Lepisosteus oculatus: one gene and its partner. The protein of the gene in region 2 binds, or shares a complex with, the protein of the main gene of each other region. Links are inferred from orthologs where the notes say so. Each region holds a gene or a part of one and is shown on either strand. Other genes may lie near its edges. The genes, in order: tsen15 and tsen34.

Region 1 (10,993 bases), on a different chromosome or scaffold from region 2:
TCTGCTAAATTAACTCCTTTAAGATCCAGAGTGCAAATAATAATGTCTGCAAACTTTACATCCTCTATAAGCAATTGTATCCTTCTCAACTCTATAATTTGACACACTATTTTTACTTAATGAATGTGTAAATAACAGTTTCAGATCAGATCCAGAGGCTAATAAGTATGTCTACAACAGTAGACTCTTGCTGTCCCAATCCCTGTACTGCACTGTCTTTTAAAGCTTGAAGGAAAGGTGCCGGCGCCTTTTCAGCTTGATCTCAGGTGCTGCTCCTTGACCCGACTGACTTGCAGCATAAAAGTTTGCATGCTCCTACTGAAAAGTAACTGAAGAAAACAGCTCAAACATTCCTCATACTCAATATCAACACCCCGGGGCAGGACCACAGGAGTTTACTGGGACTTTACCATCCTTCAGTCAGCCACTGCTCTCCAGCCAAACGCTCCATTACTTCACGGAACAACGTCTTTGACTAACTGGGAACATGTAGCACTTTTTTTCCCCTCAAGCCTCAAGGGTTTCCAGCTACTATATTGTAAACTAAACGCCTCATTTAAAGCATCAGCCCAAAACGAAACCTTGCCAAAATCATGCTTAATAGGCCTAGTTAAGCAAATCAACAATGTTAATTTAGGGCTTGGGCTGGAGCTCAAACCTCAGGGCCCTGAGGCCCTGAACGCCAGCAACTGTGAACCAAAAGAAGCGCTCTCCCGCCCCCTGGTGGGTAGTAGGGGAACGGCGCACTGGCTAGTCTGAGGCCTGGGCCTGTGGAAAACGTGCGCTAGTGAGCTCATACTCCAGAGGTGAGCGGAATGCAGAGGGGCAGCTGCCAAGCCCCAGCCCATAAAGAAACAAACTTTCCTGGCTGTTACTCTAACACTACATCATCTGTCTGTGGTGGGGTGCTCACAAACGGAGAAAATGGCACTGCCTTTTAAAAAAATATTTATGATTCGTGAGTTCCTTGATTTGTACAGCGCTTCTGAGCAGATCCAGTGTAGAAGCAGTACAGAACAGTGGGGATCTGAATGTCAAGGGGACGTGGTGTAGGTTAAACAGGGTGCCAGTGTGTTGGTGCCCAGTTGCCCAGCAAGTGTCAGGGACTTGCTTCTCCACTGTTTTCCTCCCTCCAGATCAGTGATCAGTCTCTGTCCGGATTCTCACAGCTCTGGCTTCTTCACTGCAGAGAGCAGGCTCCACACAACTGATTGGTCTGCAGTGTCCAGAAGCTTTGTGCCCTTGGTATCGCTTCCTGAGAATCGGGGTCCGCTCCCCTCAATGGTACCCGGCCACTGGAGTATCAGGACCTCCTATGTGCAGTGGTGACCTGGAAATGCCCTCAGGTGGCTTGTAGCATTGGCCATGAGCCCTGTGTGCCACGCCATTTACCCCGCGACCTCAGCGCAGGCGCCTCTTGCGGTGCTGCCGGTGATCCTGGTCCGCGATGTCCTCAGGGGGGCTGGGGGTCAGCAGGCCAGCGGTCAGCCGGTGGTAGACCAGGCTGGAGTCAGGGGCCACAGCGCAGAGCAGCATGGAGGCTGGGGAGGCCCCCCCAGGGCCCGGGGAGCCCAGCAGCGTCTGGATCCTGGGAGACAGGAGAGAAACGGAGGCACAGGAAGGGGAAGAGGGAGCCTGTGAGTCTCGGGGCCAGGAGACACCACTGCAACCGCAGCGCTGCCGGTTCAGAAACGGCCCGGGCTTCCCAAGAGGCAGGGAGTCTTCCTCCAGGCACTGCGCGAGGAAGCAGGTGAGCAGATCACGGGCCCGCCTGGCGAAGGGCTGTCCCAGAACAGAGCTTCCGTCTCTGTGTCTGCGTCCGCAGGCTTCCCGGGGTCTCTTTTATATATATATACACACATGTGTGTGTGCTCACGCCTTCCAGCTAACAATCGCCCCTCGCGCAAGGAGATAAGAGGGACCCATTCGCGAACATGCGACAGCCGCGCGGTCAGATTCCCCTGCAGACGCGATGGTGCCACAGGCTCGATCCAGTTCCAGCTCCCAGTGGTCTAGAAAACCCGACCGCTGTGCAGGGCGGTCATGCCTGCATGATTGAAACACTGCAGGCGTGGCTGAGCTGGCAAGCTCAAAGATGTGGAACTTGTGTACAGGAGCAGACTAGAGGGCAGGTAGAGTCGTGTACTGTGTTGGTTATATAACAGGGACACTGAGTCTCTGAAAACAGGACTTAGGAGGTGCTGTGCCATCTGTGCACTGCTGATGGAGATACAGCCCAGCAGAGAGAACCAACTGTGCCTTTCACAGAATTATTTTACTTAGAGGTGAGGCTTTTAGCTTCAGTGCATTAAGTCAATTAGCGGCACCGTCACTTCGTTACTGACTGTACAGCTGATTGGCTTTTCATCTGAAACAGGGCGACAGCGACACTGTTTCTCCAGTCACTGCCCTGGCTCGGCCGGCCTCTCATCGCGTTTCAGAACGGTGCCCGTCCTTCTTTTCTCACTGCGCACCTCGTGGCTCACTCTCATCTCCTAGGGGGCCTGGCAGCAATTTAAGGAATATGATGCAATGGAGCCGAAAGTTTTCTCGCCGTTTTCTCAATCCAGCGGCTAAAATCAAAGCCTTTCCTCTGTACCACTGACTTTGCTCCAGGATCCCAGTTTCAGGAGGTGAAGGTGATTTTGTTTCCAATGACAGCGTCACCCTGGTTTAAATGCACACTAGGGTGGCAGTGTGTGGTTTGAGCCTCTGAGCAGCTAATGAGACCTGCCAGGCCTGAGCCAAACAGGTCTGGGCTACGGGGTGAAATCTGCCCTGCTTTTCTCCATTTTTTCACTCCTCCTCCCTCCTGAAGCCAGTCCAGATACTGAGTCAAGTTTCACTAGCTGTGACTGGTGAGGCAAGAAGCCCCCCCCCCCCTCCAGACTCTCCTGCCAAACCCCGCCCCCTGACCTCTGACCTCTGACCTCTGACCTGGCACTTTCTTACCAGCTGTGACTGATGGACCTCTGGGCCGGAACCGGTACGACAAGCTGCGTGGGCTGGCCTTCTCTCTCCCGCCCCTCCAGGAGCACCAGCTGAAGCTCGGAGCTCCCCCTGCAGGACACATCCTGCCACTGCCGCACTGCACAGGGGACAAGAGACAGGCACCCCACACGCAGAGCAGTTTAAAGTCCCTGTCGCACCGCGAGCACAGGCACAATCCAGCAGCCACTGCAAGAGCGCGCACAGACACCAACACACACCCACCTTCAGTGAGGTCCACGTAGGCCAGGAAGGCAGCATACACCTGGGCTGAGTCCCCCAGCTCGAGGCTCATCAGCTCCTGGTACTGAGACAGGGTCACCGTCAGAGCAGAGCACAGCACACTTCACACAGGTGTGGGTGTGGAGCAGGAGAAATTTGCCAGCAGCCACATCACACTGCAACTCACAGCCGGCAGCCCACTGAAGCTCTGTCAGTACCTGGATGGGAGACCTAAGGCTGCTCCTGGAGGAGGTGTTAGTGGGGCCAGCAGGGGGCCACTCACCCTGCGGTCTATGAGGGTCCTAATGCCCCAGTATAGTGACGGGGACACTATACTGTAAAAAGGCGCTGTTTTTTGGGTGAGATATAAAACCGAGGTCCTGACTCTCTGTGGTCATTAAAAATCCCAGGGCGTTTCTTGAAAAGAGTAGGGGTGTAACCCCGAGCATTCTGGCTAAATTTCCCATGTGCCCTCATCAATTATGGCCCCCTAATAATCCCCATCTATGAATTGGCTTCATTACTCTGTTCTCCTCCCTACTGATAGCTGGTGTGTGGTGAGCGTTCTGGCGCACTATGGCTGCCTTTGCATCATCCAGGTGGGGCTGCACATTGGTGGTGGTGGAGGGGAGTCCCCATTACCTGTAAAGTGTTTTGAGTGGAGTGCCCAGAAAAGCACTATATTAAGCAATTGTTATTATTATAAACAGTGCCGAGGGATCATCACAGACCACGCAATTCAGTCTAGTATCTCATCTGCAGGATGGCTCCACCTATTGCCGTTTCCCCACAAGGGTGCTTTGGCTTGCATTCTGGTCCACAGGGAAGAGCACCCCCTACTGGTCCACCAACACCAGCAGCCGTTTCCTCCTTGGAGGTCTCGCACCCCAGTACAGACCAGATCAGACTCAGCCTGCCTAGCTTCTGAGCTCTGAGCAGATCAGGCTAGAAGATTCGCACTACTACAGGGTGGACACTACTCGCTCCTACAGCAGCAGAAAGCAGCTATTTGAGTGTATAAATACCTAGAAAGCTCTCGAAAAGAACTGTTCTACACCCCTCACCAAGTGAATCATTTCTTCTCTTCCCTTTTCCGTGTGTAATTATACTGCAGGTCTACTGCAGAGCAACTGTAAAGCGAGTGTTATGAATTCGGCTTTCGGCTGAATTGGTACCTTGGGGTGCTGCAGTATCCAGTTAGCGGGCAGGTCTCGCTGTCTCTCCGCTCCCCTGGGGCTCTCCTCAGACTCGGGCTCACCCACAGCACACCCCTCTTCCGAGGTCACGGTCACCTCCACGTCCATCTCTCCCGCTGACCACCAATCAGAGCTGCATCGCTGTGACAGAGCGACCGACGGCTCTTACTCACAATTATCCGTATCTAAAACCACATGTTCCTTACTAACACTGCGCGCCCGACTACATCTCCGTCCGACAAGAAACTCCATGCACAGACTTTAGGTTCCGCCTTAAACGTTCCTTTAATACCCGAGCCCTGCATCGTTTAAAGCAAGCGATTCGTGTGGCCATATTTAATCCCATTTTCAATTCAATCCGCTACCACAATAATCACAGAAAATAAACTCTGGACGAGTAACCAAAAAACTTACAAAGTGTGCCCGTTTGCCTGTCAGTCACTAGAAACTAGGTCTGGGGTTTAGGGCAGACAGAGAATGAATAAAATGATAGTGCAATTCGAAACAAGTTGTGACAATTATGATTCCATTTTGACAACTAATAATAAAATACAAGCCCAATGTATACATTTGGAAAATTTTCCCTTTACAGTATACGTTCCCAGTCTGCTCGCAGTGCTTTTTGGTTCTTGTAGTCAGTTCAGCGCTATGTGTAGTGAGTGAGGCTTGAGAGTTCCAGATTTCTCCACCAGAGGGGGACAAAGCCCAGTTTGAAGTAGTACCATCGTCCATGTAGTTGTCTGCTTTCGTAGCATCTCGACAGCCGGTCTTCTGGTGTGCTGCCTCCGGATTAATTCGACACAGCATACTCACACCCATCCTCACACGAACAGACCGCGCCACAAAACACCACACTCTGCTCTGCCAAGTATACACACACTGCTACATTATTAGACCATGCTGAGCTATGCCGATTATAACATTGCCGGTTAAATATGTAATCAAAGGAATGAATGACTGGACAATCTCTATTACAGTGTTTAGAGCCACCTGGGTGCTATGCAGCTGTGAAGTGAGGTCATCGGTCGTGTCCTCACGCTTTGAACTGCTCATCCAAAGAGGGGGGCGATGGAAGCAGAGCAAGAGCGAGAGGGTGTGGGAGAGACTGACGAATCAGTTTGGGTTTTCCCTCTTCACCCACAGTCGAAGTGTGTTTTTCCTCTGCGGGGGGAACAGTTGTGTGAGCCCCAGTGGGTGAGGCGCTGTCACTCAAACCGAGCTGTGGGGATTCATTTTCCAAGGCGCTTGATACAGCAGCCGCGCTTCGCTGCACGACGGCTCGGTGGGTGTGTACAGATCGCAGCGGTGCTCCTGTTGTTTTTCGGCAAGAAGACAGGACTGTGCCGCTTACAGTAGCTGCTACACTGAGCTGGTCTCTAAGAACTCAACTGCAGGAAGTCTGTCCTGTGTTCGTGAGTTGGGGGTTAAAATGAGTCCCTCTGTGTCTTGGTGGAACCTCAGTCCCGACAGCACAAGTACTGTAATATTAAATTGATCGAAATTGATTTCCAGTGGAAGACTCAATAGAATTCCCACGTGTAACAGATTTAACAGGCTGGGGGGTATCGACGAATCCCTTTCTAATCTCCCCCTTAGCTGAGACTGTTGCCCATCACGGTTCCTCTGGAATCTTGTCTCGCAGATTTCCATCTCTATGGCCCCCTGTTCATCTTATGGAAGCCCGTTTCCGCCAGGAAGGAAGAAAAAAAACGCGCTATGGTATCTCAGAATTCCGACTTAGTATCTCAGAATTGCGACTTAGCAACTCAGAATTCCGACTTAGTATCTCAGAATTGCGACTTAGCAACTCAGAATTCCGACTTAGTATCTCAGAATTGCGACTTAGCAACTCAGAATTCCGACTTAGTATCTCAGAATTGCGACTTAGTAAGTCAGAATTCTGACTTAGTATCTCAGAATTGCGACTTAGCAACTCAGAATTCCGACTTAGTATCTCAGAATTGCGACTTAGTAAGTCAGAATTGCGACTTAGCAACTCAGAATTCCGACTTAGCAACTCAGAATTCCGACTTAGTATCTCAGAATTGCGACTTAGCAACTCAGAATTCCGAATTAGTAACTCAAAATTCCGACTTTATATCTCACATTTGTGACTTCGAAATAGCCGTATTTCATTGTCTGTCCTTTTGTTATTGTAACGGATTCGGGTTCTAGGGCTTGTGCCCTCGCCGCTTCCACCCTTGTTCGTGCCTCGCTGCACTGGCTCACTTTCTTTAACCCCAGCATCCCTGTTATGCGCAGGGGAGGGTGGTGTACTGCAACCAGATCGTACAACCTGTATGTCGGCCGTTCCGTTACACTATTTTCATGAATCGTACAGGATCATAGGATCTATAAGCCTGAAGACTTGTCCTGTACAGTGCCCTGATAAAAATCAAATTAATTACACTAATTTTTATAGAATCCCATTTCCGCCAGTGAGGCTTCCATAGTACCCGGATGGAATAGTGCACGGTGGGCTTTTTAAAATAGTTTTTATTTACGTAGACAGAATATGAAATAAGATACAGAAATAGGCACTTCACATCCAGAAGAATTCACAATTATAAAAGCTGAAACATACTTTTTACGTATTTCCATTGTATGTCCTTTTTTACTTAAAAAAGAAGGTCTTCTTTAGCTCAGCTGGCAAGACTCAGGTTCGAGCCAGTGCAGCGAGGCACGAACTAGGGTGGGAGCGGCGAGGGCACAATCCCTAGAACCTGAATCCGTTACAATAACAAAAGGACAGACAATGGAATACGGCTATTTCGAAGTCACAAATGTGAGATATAAAGTCGGAATTCTGAGTTGCTAAGTCGCAATTCTGAGATACTAAGTCGGAATTCTGACTTACTAAGTCGCAATTCTGAGATACTAAGTCAGAATTCTGACTTACTAAGTCGCAATTCTGAGATACTAAGTCGGAATTCTGAGATACTAAGTCGGAATTCTGAGTTGCTAAGTCGTAATTCTGAGATACTAAGTCGCAATTCTGAGATACTAAGTCAGAATTCTGAGTTGCTAAGTCGCAATTCTGAGATACTAAGTCGGAATTCTGACTTACTAAGTTGTAATTCTGAGTTACTAAATCGCAATTCTGAGATACTAAGTCGGAATTCTGAGATAGCATAGCGCGTTTTTTTTTTCCTCCCTGGCGGAAACGGGCTTCCATATCATCTTCTCCCTCACCGTCCTCACAAAGTTATTTCTGCGGTCTCCTCTATCCTCAAACCCTCACAGTCTTCCTCACCCCCACACACCTGGAGAGGCAACACAGCTGAAACGTTTTCTCACGACCTCAGCTTGTTCGCAGGCTGTATTCACTGACAGTTGTCACAACACGATATCCAAAATGCTTCAGTAATACAGCAATTTTACTAGCAGTCTAAGAAGTAGATGAAGAATTACATTAGTGGAGTACTAAAATAAATGGTAATACAGTGGAATGCTGGACGAATTGGCCGTGAAGTTAAAATCCTCACCCACTGCATTTTATGGGATTTTTTTAATAGACGGAGAAGTTGTTAACGAGACACAAGGCAAAGCCATCGGTTGCGCTCATACATGAAAAATGCGATTGTAGTCACTGCTGCAGCAATCTGGCAATGTCTGGCACCCAGCCTCCCACTGGCACCTGGGACCGGTGCCATTAAAACCGTGCCCGTCTTGAGACCCTGCGCCCAGCCACACACATCACTCAAACACACGGTGGCTCCAGAGCATTCAATCCAGAGCTTTGGTGAGACAGGACAGTGCGACCTACACAGACTACAGCTGTCTGAGACGATAGAGCTGGACCAGACCTAAAACGACCAGCACCTATGGGCTCTGTTTAACGCAGTAGCAAAAAGGTTCGGACTTGTGTCGCGCTTTTGTGCTAGTGCGTATTTCTACACGTTTTGTGTAATTCTAATACGTTACACAAATCTGGCGTCGACATCGATTTATAAAAGTTTCAGGAATACTGTGTCAGCTGGGACCGGTTTACAGGAGCCAAACAGCCATGACGACACAGCAGGACACGCCAAAACAATTAGGATCGTTAGACTAGTCAAAACACCCACCCTTCTTCTCGCTGAATACAGTGAAGCGAGATAGTGCGAGATTAGGGGGATAATACTGGAATGACGTTTAAACCCGTAACACCAGACCAGAAAGATAAAAGAAAAAAGTTGAGAGAAGACGACTACAGCCTGTAGCACATTCAGAAGAGGAGGTTTCCATGGGAACGCGCGTTAACGCGGTGACCCAGTAAGCGCTCCACACACCGAGCCGGACCCAGTGTGGGGCTACAGCTGGGGCAGAGGTCCGTCGGCGGGGCGCTGCTCTTGTGAAGACATTGTTTGAAAGAGGCAGCTGGGGGTCCTACCGCATACCCGAGTTCAGAGAGAGCGAGGGGGTGGGGGGAGAGGGGGGGAAGAGACGCCAGCCCCAGAGCAGAGAGCTGTGGAAAAGTCCTTCTCATTCAGCCAGTCTCTCTCTCCGAGCGAGCAGCGGAGCAGGGCGAGGCAGCTACGCCGGAGCCCAGGTCGTCGCGGACAGCGGTGCTCTCCGGGGAATCATGCCGCGTGTCAGGCTCCTGTCCCTCGCGGTGTTCGCCGCCCTCCTCGCCGCTCTCCTCTCGGGAGCGGGCTCGGAGCTGATGACCCTGGTTCAGGGCGCAGCCCGGCCCGAGTCCGCGCTGCTCAAGCCCAAAGTGCTGATCGCGATCCTGGCCAGGAACGCCGCGCACAGCCTGCCCTTCCACCTGGGCTGTATTGAACGCCTGGACTACCCCAAGGAGCGCATCGCTATCTGGTAAGAGCCCGCTCACCTGCCTTTGTACACTCTTTCCTTCCTTCGGTCATGTATGTTACGGGAAGCGTGCAATGAGAAACACGCTTTTCGCGTAAAGTGGCAAAACGTTTTTAAGCAGGGTTTTAAAGCCTCGCCTATATGCCGCGATAAAAAAAAAAAAATTAAAAGCGGTAGTTTTAAAAAGACTTCTAACGTCTGAGCCTTCCGGTTAGTGCGTTTAGTGTGTGTATGTACAGTACGTCTGCGTACCGTGCTGGTACAGCAGAGACTTTGAAAAGGTTCGTGGTGACTTTAAAACTTTAATCCCCTTCTGCCCGAGTCGGTCATGCCTGAGTCGGCAGCGAATTCCGGCACCCCATCCGCCTGGGCTATAACCCGTTCTGACAGCTCCGCCGAGGGTGCGCTTTTTGAAGTGGTGCATGTTCAAATCTGGGAGAAGGAGAGGGATCATTACTGCGTTTCTGGGGAGAGAGAGAGAGAGGAAGGGGCGGGAGAAGACACGCAGCGCTGACTCGTCAGCTCGGTCTTTCATGTGGGTTTGCAAGCTGCTGGGTCGGCCTGCGCGCACCTTGACAGGGGATTTGGGTTAAGCGAGCTGCGTGTCACCTGTGGGAGCAGAGGCCTTATCCCACCTGTTATTAAGACTTTGCTGATTAGAACCTTATTGATGCGCCGGATAATTGAGGGCTCGGCGGTGCCAGATCTCCCCGCACAGACTCCGCCATCCGTGAGCGCCTACCGTGCGCTCCAGTAAAGTCATGATTCGAAAGCTTCGACGAAAAAATCTTCAGGGCAAGCAGGAGCAATTGACTAGGTTAAGAAAGTTGAGTCTGTTTCGATTTAAACTTTGAAAAAAGAATAAGGCGATTCATTTTGAATCAAGGCTTTTTAAACGCAGACCCCAGTCCGGTTCTTTGGCGTGGGGATTCTGAAGGCTTGTCCCAGGGTCATGGAGTTCGCCTTGAGTAATGAGATGAAGCCGCGGGATGTCCGATTGACACCATGCTGCTGGAGACGGCGCCCCAGTTACACAAGCACAAGGCATGTTGCACATTTTCATTTTCAAGATCATTTCAGACCTCCCCATTGCAATGTGGTCTGCACTAAGAGTATCCTGAGTGGGGGTACTTCTCTATCCTCTCCCACTGAATCCCGCTGGGACGGATCCACACTCCCTCGACGTGGCTTGGGAGTGGGGAAAACGAGGGGATCGAAGCGGTGATCCCCAGACCGGCTCATTCTCCAGCAGCTGGGAGTCCCGGGAGAGCTTCCCTGCCGTCCCTCGTCGTGAGGCAGACACTGGTGACTGGAAATGTGCGCTCAGAGGTGGCACTTCCCCATGAGGTCCTGAATTCTGCCAGCTCGGAGACCAGCCATGGGAGATGAGCAGAGCAGGGTCGTGATGAGGTTCCCGTGCTTGGGAAATAGAGTTTTAGAAATGCTGTGAATGTGGAATAAAAGCCTATCTACAGTGTCTCCTATCTCTAGCTCATTGCATGAATCATTTGCAGAGCAGCATGCACTTTGCATGTAGGCACTGTTCAGAGGCTGTGTTCTGCAGAACCATATTCACAGAGTATTCCTGGTTTAGGGCTTTTGTTTTAAAGAAACACTATAGCCAACAATAGCAATTATGAGCTTATAATAAGCACTGTATATGGACATACTGTACGTTTTACAACTGCATTCATTATCAGCCAAGTGAATTATCAGTAACGGCTGTACTGATGTCTGGTAGAGTTCTCATTCAACCATTCTGTGAGCAGATTCAAGGCACTTATAATGGA
Region 2 (11,423 bases):
CTCAAGTGTACTTATTAGATAAGTTGGTCCCAGGAGTGCCCTTGTTTATGCCGCTGTACTTGTGAAATAAGGCGAGCGCTGCGGTTGGAGTCTTCTCAGTAACCTGTAGCTCAATTCAGCTTATTTCTTTTTTGTAGATCTATGCTTGTATGATGGTCTTCTTCCTCAGTAACATGGTTGAGAATCAGTGCATGTCCACAGGGGCATTTGAAATCACGTTGAACGGTAAGCTTGTCATGCTCCGGAATTTCATTTTATTGTTTGTGGGAATGTATCGTCGGCCCTCCTTCTGAGTAAAAACACAGGAAGTTCAAATTGTAACCGTAGGCTGGATGTTTCACCTTGAATAAAACGTGACGCTGTTTAAGCACCTCACCAGCACCATGGGACATCCTCAGCGTGGCCCTGAACGTACTAGTGCCGAGTACAGTGAATGTGTGCAGACACACTCGTTGCTGATAGAATAGTGAAAGGTCTTTATCAGTTATTAAGCACTACTGTTCTAATGCACATAAATGGCTCTTGCGGGTGAGCCGTTACTGGGACATCCTTAAAAGGACTGTGGTGCTTTTGCTTGGTGCAGATGTTCCAGTGTGGTCTAAGCTGGAATCAGGCCATCTCCCATCGATGCAGCAGCTCGTCCAGATCCTGGAGAACGAGATGAAGCTGAACGCCCGCATGGATTCACTGCCACATCACCGGTCATAGCCTGGTCTGCTAACGGCGAAGAGCCCTCCTGTAGGTTTCTGGTCTGTGACATCGTGAGATGTTTTTCATTGATTGTAGAGATGAAAGAGGTTCTAACTTGTGTGTCTAGAGCAGGAGTTGTCCCATTCTGATCCTGGAGGGCCGGTGTGTCTGCAGGTTTGCTTAGGTCTGTTTATAGGAGCTGCATCTCAAGAGCTGGGAAAGGCTGTTAAACATTGTCTTATTAAGCCTGTTACAAGCTAATTTGTGCCATTATTAAGAGCTGAGTTGGAATGAGAGCCTGCGAACACACTGGCCTTCAAGGACCAGGGTTATATATACGTCTGGCCCACTGTTAAAGATATCCAAATTTTTTGTGCACATTTCAGAATACACTTATTGAAAGATGATTTATATATTCCTGCATCTGTATGGAATCTCGCCCCTCATTCTGTGCGATTTGGCAAGAACGGTCAATGCTGGAAAAGAGTTCTGAATGTAGACTAACTCCAGAAGAAATGTTTAACGCTTTGCCCTGTGTTCCAGGTTTTAAATGGCTCTCTCCACGGGCAGTGAGCTGATGTCTATGAAGGACTGCATTGAAGGCAGATTTCTGCAAGTGCAGGCTGGAAGCTCTTATCAGTCTTGCTGAACCTCTGGGAGTGCTCCTTTGAAACGGGTGACCTTGAGCATTGGGGATGTTCATTTTTATTGCAGCACGTTCATCAGGGTGCAATAAAATGTATAGTTTCAATTTTTTATTCACTAATTTGAGCCTTTGTATAGCTAAATGTTAACGTACGTTTGTTGTATTTTGTATTTCGCAGTTCAAAAAAATGTCAGATAAACATCCAAATGACATTTTTAAGTTGATTTCTGATTGGTTGTAATTTTTATATTTCTTTTTATAGCATAAAGTGGAATTAAAATTATAATAAAGTGGATTATGTCTAACAGGGAAAAAAAAGTTTGATTGTTGAGCATCTCTGCTACTCAAGTGGGATTTTTGAAGGGGTGTGCAATTAACTTAACGGTGTTTCAAGAAGGATCGCTGCATTGAGACTGTTATCTGTTCACTGTTGCATCGAGACTGTTGTCTTTTTATGTCCACTGCTTGCCAATCAACTAATTGGTCATTTTGGAAGTTCAGACTTGTGAGGATTTCATGTGACATTTGTAAACAGAAGTGTAACAGAATAATGCAGTTAGTGATTTACCAAGTACCTTTTATGAAATACTTTAAATGTTAGATTATGGTACACAAAACAGATAATTTTATGGTTACCACTTTATCACTTTGGCATTTATAAAACAACTATTTGAAAGGTATTAATAGACTGATATGTATTAGATGATAACCAGTCTCTGCTGTACAAGATGTTAGCAACAAATCCCAAATTCTGAATTGTTCTCCTAACCTAGGGTGTGCACTAATTTTTCTTAATGGTTCATGACAGAAATTAATCGTGTTAATATATTCCTTACAGAGAGTTATAAATGGGATCGAGAATAAAGTGTAAGCAATCCTGTTTGCTTTTCTTTGGATGGATTTGGATGGCTGTCTGTTTTTCCCTGCATATAAATGACAGGAATCGTCGTTTGGTGATGAACTGTTTGCTTTTATTGTATTTCTTCCTATCAAAACATTTAATCACATTGATGTCATTTACAATTCTTGGTAAGTTCTGCTAAATAAGCAGAAATGATTTGATGTTTTTTTTCCCCTGTGACAAAAGTTTAAAAGGGTTTCACAGAATTTGCATGGCTGTTGTTGGCACAGGCAAAGCAAATGCAGATCTGTAGGTGATGAGAATATTGTAGGGTCTGCGGGACAGTTTTTATACAGAACAAATGTCACCAGGCAACAGAATTGTTAAGGTGACTTCTTTTTTATTGTAGGACTCATTACTGATTAACTTTTCTGGACTGAACCTCTTCAGTTCTCCAGCTCTCTCCATGATACATTAACCTATGCTCTTGGCAGCTGTCTTTGATCCTGAATGGTGTAGAGATGTACAGTGTTTAATGTTTATAAGCCAAACATCAGCAGAGAACTTTAATGCACAACATTTGTCTCTCTTCATACATTCTTTACACACCTGGTGTGGGCTGGAGTATTTCTTAGAGCCGTTACTGATCAGGATACAGCAGTGACACGGACCAACATGAGGTGTCCTGGCCGACTCGGGTACATTCCACACCTGCCCGAGCCGAGAGCCCTTAGTTTAAGGACACCTGCTTTTTCCAGACTGTTTTTTCTCCTGCCCCAGAATTTGGGATCCTATAAAATTAGCTGTTTAAAAATGGTAAAAAAAAAAAACAACCCGACAAATTTGGAATGTAAGTCTGAAAGACATACCTGTAAAACTATATTTGATCTTCACTCCATTTCCAGTTATATTCTTATAAAAGGAGACCTTGGGTGCAAACTGGGCATTGCAGCTGCATTTAAACTTCCCATTCACCTCCGGAGTGAGAAGTCCAGGGAATTCTTGCCTTAGCCAGATCTGGGAACGTGCCAGCTTGCGCCACAAGACGGGGGACTGAAATTTCCCTAGCGCTGTGCCCAAGAGCAGGACTGTTACCCGTGTGTCCTAGATACACACTGACTCGGGCATCCCTGACGTTTCCCCTTAACTCAACTGGAGAACTGATGCCTCACTTCAGTACTGGATGAATCCCATATATAGAGAGTGTACTGTAATGAAAAGTGCTTTTTAAGTACAAGCCAATAAAGTTGCTGTTCCATGCCTCAGCTTTACAAAAGCACCCCAGTGCCTACTGCCCAATGCATGGACCTAAAAACAAGAACTCTTAAAAATCTACTTCATCCTCTCCTCATGGCTGGATGATGGTTCTGTATTAAACTACAGCAAGGAGGGATTTTCCTCCCTTTTAAACCGTAGTCTGCTTGCGTCTGACACTAAAGCAGTTTTATTGGTCTAAATAATGCTGACAGAATCAAGACGCATGTCATCGTGACATGCGAGGAAAAGTGAAATCTTTCACAGGTCTTAACCCATGGTGCTGAAAATCCTTAAGTAACTGAAATACAAAGACACCAGGGAAGCACAAAATACAGCAGTTTTAAACAGAGCCAATATTTCAGCTTGATGCCTAAATATGAACCGATTATTGTAAGAGAGCAAAAACAACATGGTTTTCCTGGAAGCAACACAGAAAAGGCGTGTACCCTCAAGTACACATTGCGCATGACCAGTTGTGATAGCTTATCTAGCCTTGTTTGAACAAGGAGAGAAACGGAAGATCTACCTGTGTATTTTGTGATAACAATTTCCCCCCTTTCATCACATCATTGCAGCAAAGTGTGGAGAGCAGTCCGAGAACCTGTGAGTTATACAACTCCAAAACGGGAGAAAACCGGACTAAATAACTTCATCGGGCTTGTCATTCAGAGGGGATCTCACAGTGAAACGGACGGATTTTCCTCTGAATAATCAGAGAGATGTGCTAACAAATCTTGGCCGTCTTGCCTGATGCTGTTTCACGAGCATTGAAACGACCTCTGGAGAACCGAGACCCGTGTCACTTTGTGCACAGCGATGACTGCAGCGATCACGGTCTGGTGAATCCCGCCGGGAACCAGCGCTGTTAGGAATGTCAGTTGTGTACGCCGTGTTGCACGCGACTTTGGGGATCTTGATTCCGGTTCCGAATATAGTTGTGATTATTGTGGCGTACAAGCTGATCAAGGCTAAGCGTGCGAAGGGCTACGTCTTCATCATCAACCTGGCCGTGGCGGACCTGCTGGTAGGGCTCATGTGCGTGGTGGAGACCCTGGACGATCTGTACGACGGCGACTTCGACAAGAATCTGACCTTCTGTCTGCTGAGGATCTGCTTCACCATCAGTCCCTGCGTGGGCTCTGTGCTGACTCTGCTGCTCATTTCTCTCGACCGGTGGCTGGCTGTGACCCGTCCGCTCCACTACCACAAAACCGTGACCAACAGGACTGTGTCGGCGGCCCTCGCTGCTCTCTGGGGTCTCTCTTTCTCCGTGGGCAACCTGCCGCTAATTGCTCCGCAGCTGCAGCAGACTAACTATACGGGCGTCTGTGGCCTTTTATACTCGACGAAGAATCAGTATCTGTACATCATTTGCTTCGTGGTCTTTATGCCCGTGTTCCTCACTTTGATCTGCGCCCAGATATTACTGGGCCGGACCGCTCACCTGCAGCGCCAGCGGATCCGGCAGGTCTCCGTCGGCCCGGCGCCCCCGCGGTCTGCGGACCTGAGACACTTCAAGGCGCTGCGCACGGTCCTCGTAGTCATCGTCTGCTTCTCCGTGTCCTGGGGGCCCTACTACATGGCCGGGCTGGTGCAGGCCTCCTGCGCCCGGTGCCACCTGAAGGCCCTGCTGAGGGACGAGCTCTTCCTGCTGGGAGAACTCAACTCGCTCCTCAACCCCCTCATCTACGCCTTCTGCAGCAACGACATCAAGTCCCGCGTGTGTCAAGCTGGCTGGTGGAAGAAGATATCGCGGGCTCGTGCACTGCAGCTCCGCCACAATAAAAACTGACAATGGTTTGGGGACCGTTGTAAGACATCCCTGTGTCTGCTAAATACAATTCCCTAACGGTTTTAAGTGTTTTCCAACTATATATATATATGTGTGTGTGCCTATTACCTTATATATTGTATATATTACTTATATACCTTATTCGTTAGGAATGCTGTGTCTTGCAACGTTTAAACTATTATTTCGAATATCGAGGATAGAGGTTGTCGTATTGAGGAATTTCAAGCTTTTTGTTATAAAGCACAACCTTTGAACTGTGATTGTTTAATGGACGTCGCGTTTTTACACATGCACTAGTGATAGCAATAAGACATCACAGCTTGTCCACGCAGACAGAAGAAACTGGACTCGTTTTCATACTACCGAGACAGAAACAATCGCACACGTCCAGGCTGCTGTTACAGACACTAGGTGGTGCTACAGGGTTTTCCTTTACCGATGAAGATATTTCTTATAAAACAATAGGACAGTCTCCAAAATACGTATTGAAGTATTTTAGGCGTGTTGTTTAACCCCTGTGACAGTATGGATTAAAAACAAGAAATAATGTTCTCTCTCGATCTGTAATCAATTCATTATTTTACAACAAAAACCTTGCCAAAGACCTACACTACGGTATTTTGGAGGCTAATAAAGATGGAAACGTCATTGTTTTTATTGTTAATTCTTAATACACATTTACTTAAAATATTGTTACTGCATTAGGTTCACTTATTAACTGTATGTATTGATTTCCTCAGCTCCGTAGTACCTCATGTAAGGAATTTAAAGCGTAACTTATTTTCCCAGTCAAAACTAAAAAATAATTCACTCCTGTTTAAACTGCGGTGCCGTGTGTGGCGACGACGAGAACCCCACAATAAAATTGCTTCTGCACGGCGTTTTTCTTAAAAAGCTTGCAAACGGATTGTCTGAAATGCGCCCCAAGAATCACCGTACCGCAGAGCGCTTCAAGTTTCAAATAACATTTCAGCAAGGTAAACGAAATAAGATTTCTCCAGTGTCTTGAATAAAGAGTCGCAGTGAGAACACAGTAAAACAGTTTCCTGCTACTTGAATGACCTAAACTCGGTCTGACACCTCCAAAGAAGGCTCCACAACCGAAACGTTTTCCTTTCCTAGAATAAACCTTTACCTGTTCCTTAAAGATACAACTTACCTCTTTATTAAGAAAACATTAAGAAAAGAGTTGATCAGACCCAGCCGAGGAGGCCGCCATGTTGACTGACGTCACCGCGTCCATGGGAACCGCCCCCAGGTCGCCGGAAACGCCCGAGCCCTTCCGGAGACGACCGAAGGCTGCCATATTAGAGTTGAAATGGGATCGAGTCGTGTTCCTCCGACCGGGTGAGCAAAACCAGTTAGAGGTTTCGTGCTCTCGCCGTTAAATAGAGATAACAGCTAGGGTTTTGCATTAGAGCTTATGTTCCACTTCTGCTTAAGCAGCTTAACCTCAGTTTGAGATCCAGTATTTCTAGGGAAAGCGTAATGTGCACGTGGAGAGCTGTCTGTTTAGATAGATGCTCCGGATTGCAAGTTATTTACACTCAAATACAACGCGTGCGTTAAATTAAGAACTGTCCAAGTTGAATATTGCATAACAAAGTAACAAGTACTAGACACCACAGTACAGCAGGGTTATTTTATTAAATATTCTGATTAAGATTATAATATCAACGTGTCTCTTCAAGATTTCCATTGCACTGTCGGACTCGAGCGAGGAAGGGTTGCAGATTTGCAGACTGAGTTTCAAGTCCGAAGGCACATAGCAGGGAAAACCCGCTGCTTGATGAGTTATGCACGCTCCGTGAAGGCTGCTGGTCGGAGATAAACGGAGCTAGGAAACGGGAGAAAAAGTTTCAGAGGAACAGATGAAATAATATAGCTGTGTACCCCATGGCCGCACACCCAGGAGAGACGGGGTTTGAAAGTGAGCCAGAGACTAGGGGGGACGGGAGATGCAAACAGCCAGCCGAACCCGGGTCCGAAGAGGAGAGGCTTCCGGTTGAGCCCGGTTTGGAGACGGGAACTGCGGCAGCCCAGGTCTATCTCTGCGGCTCCACTCCTCTGCTGTGGAGGGCAGCCGACGTCCGGGGGGCCCGGGAGCGGGCGGGGGTGGTGGGCACGCTCATCGGATCCCTGGCCCGCCAGCCCCGCCAGAACCTCCGCTTGGGCCGGCCGGCCCAGCTGCTGCCGGAGGAGGCCCGCCTGCTGAGGGACACAGGCCGCGCCGTGCTGGTCACCGCAGCTCCGCCGGAGGTGAGCGCCGTCCTGGGTTTTCCTGCCTCCGTTTCCCGACACCCCGCGGTGAGAGGCTCTGGCTGTGTCAGCTTGATAGGTGACCAAGTGACGGGGAAGATCTGGTTTAATTCATCTTGGCTCTTCTAGCACGAGAAGAATGTTTATATAATGATTTATAGCCAGTTTGTACATGGGGTACACTGATATATAAACTGGCTGTAAATTAACTCCCAGCTGGCAGTCCACTGGAGCCCAGCAGGTGTGAGCCTGGTCAGTACCTGGATGGGAGACCTCCTGGGAAAGCTGAGGCTGCTGCTGGAAGAGGTGTTAGTGGGACCAGCAGGGGGCGCTCACCCTGCAGTCTGTGTGGGTCCTAATGCCCCTCGTCCTTCGGATGAGACGTAAAGCCGAGGTCCTGACTCTCTGTGGTCTTTAAAAATCCCAGGGAGTTTCTTGAAAAGAGTAGGGGTGTAACCCCAGTGTCCTGGCCAAATTTTCACCTGGCCTTTACCAGTCATTGGCCTCTTAATAACTGGCTTCCTCTTAAGAACTGGCTGAACGGGCTTCATCGCTCTGCTCTCCTCCCCACTGAGAGCTGGTGTGTGGGGAGAGGACTGGAGCATCATCCAGGTGGGGCTGCACACTGGTGGTAGTGGAGGGGATCCCCATTACTTGTAAAGCTCTTTGAGTGGAGTGTCCAGAGAAGCGCTACATAAGTCTAAGGATTATTATTAATAACTGGATTTGGCTGCCTCACCCCCTGCCTCTCTTGCTATTGAAGTCTTTGTCTGTATTGACTTTGTCTGAAATAAGTGAAAGTCTGTGACCTTGTTCAGAATAGTTCCTCATGCGAGTGCCCCCCGAGTCTCCAGATGGGGGTCCGGAGTTTGAGTTTGAACGTCAGGTAGGAAGTTTTTTTCTTCCAGGCTGAAGATGGCGTGAGGGCAGAGGAGGTGGAGAGATACCGAGAGAGGCTGCAGCACAGCTTCCTGGAGCAGAAGAAGATCGCCCTGGAGGACAGGAAGCAGGTGTTGCAGAGAGTGATGAACCAGAAACAGAAGGGTAAAGGGCTGCAGTGAGGCGTACGCCGAGCGGTTGTACGAAGCTGGGGCTGCCTGGCCGACCTCTCCTGGCAGCCTCCCAGCTCAGAGGGGTTGTTCATGTCACACTCGCTCCGAGATGCCAGTCTGTCTTTCTCCCCCGTCCCAGACTCCTTCGCCTTGCTGTCTGCGGGCAGCTGGGGGGGAACGTCCTTGCCTGTGGAAGGGGTGCCGATCTCCTCCGCCGAACGGGGATAGGCACGCTGAGCCGGTTACGGGAGGGACTGTCCGTCTGAAGCCCAGGCCGTGTTCAGCTCTGCTGGGTGCGCCGGCCCCAGTCTCGCGCCGCTCCTGACCGCGATCGATTCCCGGCGCTCCTCGCGGCTGCCGTGTCGAATTGTGCCGCGGCAGAAAAGGACCCGCGCCTTCGCTGCTGTCCAGGGGGCGGCGCTGTGCGGCCGAGCGGGCGTGGTCGAGTGCCAGCAGGGGCAGCAGCTGAGCTCCGCCGACTCCTCGGCCCCCGCGGAGCTCCACGCTGCCCAGACCGCGGCAGGAGCTGGCTTCCCTTCTCTGGCCCGCTCGCTCGGCCCTCTGGGACTCTGACCCTTCTTCCTCTTCCAGACGGGGGCGCCGCCGGCGCGGAGCTGCCACTCAGGGATCGGCTGAGCTCCCTGGAGAGCTCCTTCACGTTCCCCGAGGCGGCGACGGCGGTGCAGCTGTGCACCGCCAGGGCGCGACTCGGGTACGAGCCGGAGGAGCGCCTCCTGATGGCCGCCGACTGGCCCCAGCCGCGCGACGAGAGAACGGAAGCGCGGTATCGGGTGTACCGGGACCTGCGGCGGCGGGGCTACTACGTCACGCCCGCCGGCAAATTTGGAGGAGACTACCTCGTCTATCCAGGTATGTATTCACCGGGAGCCTCCGACTCCGGTCCTGGAGTGACTGATCTCCTAGGGAACTCCCGGAAGTAATCAAATAAGCAAGTAACGTATTCGATGAAGGCAAATGATTCGTTAACGATCTCTAAATTGCTTAATTTAACAAGTGGCTGGTCAGGGCTAGCCTGTGGCAGGCCTGTAGAAGCCGGTGATTTCGCGATGAGCTGTGAAACCCGTTGGGTGGGGGCTCTCCTGGACCGGGGTCGGACCCTCCTGTGCTGCGTCACGCGAGACCGCGCGCACAGAGGGGTGTCCGCGCCTCAGAGTGCCTGTCCGCCTCTCCTCCAGGGGACCCCCTGCGCTTCCACGCTCACTTCATCGCCGTGTGTCTTCCCCCGGAGGCCGAGACGCCGCTCAGCGACCTCCTGGCTCTGTCCCGGCTGGGCTCCAACGTCAAGAAGACCGTGTTGCTGTGCTCCCCGGGCGAGAGCGGGGGGGTCGTCTACACCTCCCTGCAGTGGAGCGGCATGGTCTAGGCGTGGGGGCGGCGGTGAGGAGGAGGGGGCTCCTGTGGGGTGCGGAGGGACGCCCCGGGGTCCCGCCGATGACGAGGGTGCTGTTGGAAAGTGTGCACAGGCTGGCCTTTCAGATGACCTTCCTCCCTGCCAGCACTGCGCCGTTCCCGTGCCCGTCTCACAGATGTGCCTTTCTGCCTTCGGAGTCGGCTTTCTTCTTTTAACCTGGACGAACCTCAAGCCTGCTTGGACGGAGTTCTGCGCCTTTGCTACTTGCACAGCTGGAGTAATAAAAATCCAGTGGTCAGGAGGGGGTATCGTTCTGTATGGATAAAGACAATAAATGACTTTTTTTAAGGGAAATCTCGTTTTTCTTTTGTTTAACATACATGGCATAATCTAGCTTTAGCACGTGAGAACTGTGATTGAGGAATGCAGTTTTAATATTCCACGCAGACAGGATTAGAAGCATCATGTCTGTTGCTTGCAGAGATGGGCTCCTGGGCCCCCCCACAACCCTGATGTGGGTGAAGCAGTTAAGAGAAGAGATGGGTGAAAGTCTGAGAGGAGACGGCTGTGTTTGTCGTGTTTGCACAGCGTGTTCCAGGGTCGTGTGTTACACTCCTATATACGAAGAAAAAAGGACTGGCGCGCCTTTACTTGAACACAGCCCTGTCAGTTCACAGCTGGCGGTAATGGAAGAGTTTCCCGTTGATCGTGCAGCTGCTTTGCCGGGCTGGCGCGAGCTTTTCCCGCGCGGCCTTTGGCGGAGCGGGGTGGCCGGCGAGGTCACAGGCAGTCTTTCACCGAGCCTTCGATGAACGCCCTCTCTCCCTCGTCCAGCGGCAGGGCCCCCGCCGAGCAGACGCTCCACAGCCTCCGGCTGAGCGAGGTCAGGTACGAGGGGGGCTTGGGTCTGGGCGGCTGCCCGTGGGCGGGGAAGCGCAGGCAGCTGTGCAGCTTGTGCAAGGCGGAGTGCAGCTTTATCCTCCCCGCCAGCAGGAGCAGGTCCTCCTTCAGCAGGGCGGGCCTGACGGGGGGAGCGAGTCTGGGCTCCTTTACCTGGGGGAACGACGAGACGGTTACCGGCTGACGGCAGCTGAGAGCCCCTCCCCAACACCGGGGGACGGGTCTGATTCATGCCTTCCAGAACGCGTGCTGCACCTGCAGGACCGTGCCCACGCTGAACCTGGCCTGCTGCCCCAGAGCCAGGAAGGACACGGACATCTTCCTTTGTTCCAGCACGCGGACGCCGACGTGAGGGTTCAGCGACAGGAACAGGGGCTTGAAGGGGGATGGCCGATCGGAGGCAGGGAGCTCGCTCCACCTCCACCTCCGCAGCTTGGCGCCCCTCTCATCCAGGCACAGCCCGCCGAAAAGATCGATGCTCAACCTGCGCCGCACAGGGGGGGAAATGATCATCATGGCGATGCTTTTGCATTTGAGACTCAAATGGATCGTCTTGGGCTGTTTCTGTTCATTGGTGCATGAGCAATGTTGATTCAATCACTGCACTTCAGGGC

Evidence for each region.
Region 1: the proteins of tsen34 (region 2) and tsen15 are in contact, whole or in part, in a crystal structure (PDB 6Z9U), measured with the Homo sapiens proteins. The link is inferred for Lepisosteus oculatus from reciprocal best matches to the Homo sapiens genes TSEN34 and TSEN15. Residues at the interface, in NP_001070914.1 of Homo sapiens: Pro251, Leu252, Arg253, Phe254, His255, Ala256, His257, Tyr258, Pro265, Glu266, Asp267, Thr268, Ile269, Pro270, Leu271, Gln272, Leu274, Ser283, Val284, Arg285, Lys286, Thr287, Leu289, Leu290, Cys291, Ser292, Gln294, Val300, Tyr301, Thr302; in NP_443197.1 of Homo sapiens: Leu70, Lys74, Trp76, Thr108, Pro109, Ile110, Thr111, Ala112, Ser113, Leu114, Ser115, His116, Asn117, Ile119, Arg120, Leu123, Leu141, Ile143, Val151, Tyr152, Tyr153, Lys154, Leu155, Thr156, Asp157, Gly158, Phe159, Met160, Leu161, Pro162.

The regions. Positions count from the first base shown.
Region 1 is NC_090704.1:31,147,742-31,158,734, forward strand, and holds tsen15 (tRNA-splicing endonuclease subunit Sen15), read right to left. Parts: upstream 4,650-10,993; 5' UTR 4,515-4,649; coding exon 4,386-4,514; intron 3,296-4,385; coding exon 3,214-3,295; intron 3,089-3,213; coding exon 2,953-3,088; intron 1,589-2,952; coding exon 1,402-1,588; 3' UTR 932-1,401; downstream 1-931. Other genes in the region: colgalt2b (procollagen galactosyltransferase 2), read left to right, coding at 8,971-9,206. UniProt on the Homo sapiens protein: Non-catalytic subunit of the tRNA-splicing endonuclease complex, a complex responsible for identification and cleavage of the splice sites in pre-tRNA. It cleaves pre-tRNA at the 5' and 3' splice sites to release the intron.
Region 2 is NC_090708.1:2,592,597-2,604,019, forward strand, and holds tsen34 (tRNA-splicing endonuclease subunit Sen34), read left to right. Parts: upstream 1-7,122; coding exon 7,123-7,485; exon of another isoform or gene 7,486-8,393; coding exon 8,394-8,529; exon of another isoform or gene 8,530-9,128; coding exon 9,129-9,407; exon of another isoform or gene 9,408-9,733; coding exon 9,734-9,921; 3' UTR 9,922-10,263; downstream 10,264-11,423. Other genes in the region: gpr119b (glucose-dependent insulinotropic receptor), read left to right, coding at 4,306-5,226; glutamate-rich protein 6, read right to left, coding at 10,690-10,962, 11,065-11,293. UniProt on the Homo sapiens protein: Constitutes one of the two catalytic subunit of the tRNA-splicing endonuclease complex, a complex responsible for identification and cleavage of the splice sites in pre-tRNA. It cleaves pre-tRNA at the 5'- and 3'-splice sites to release the intron.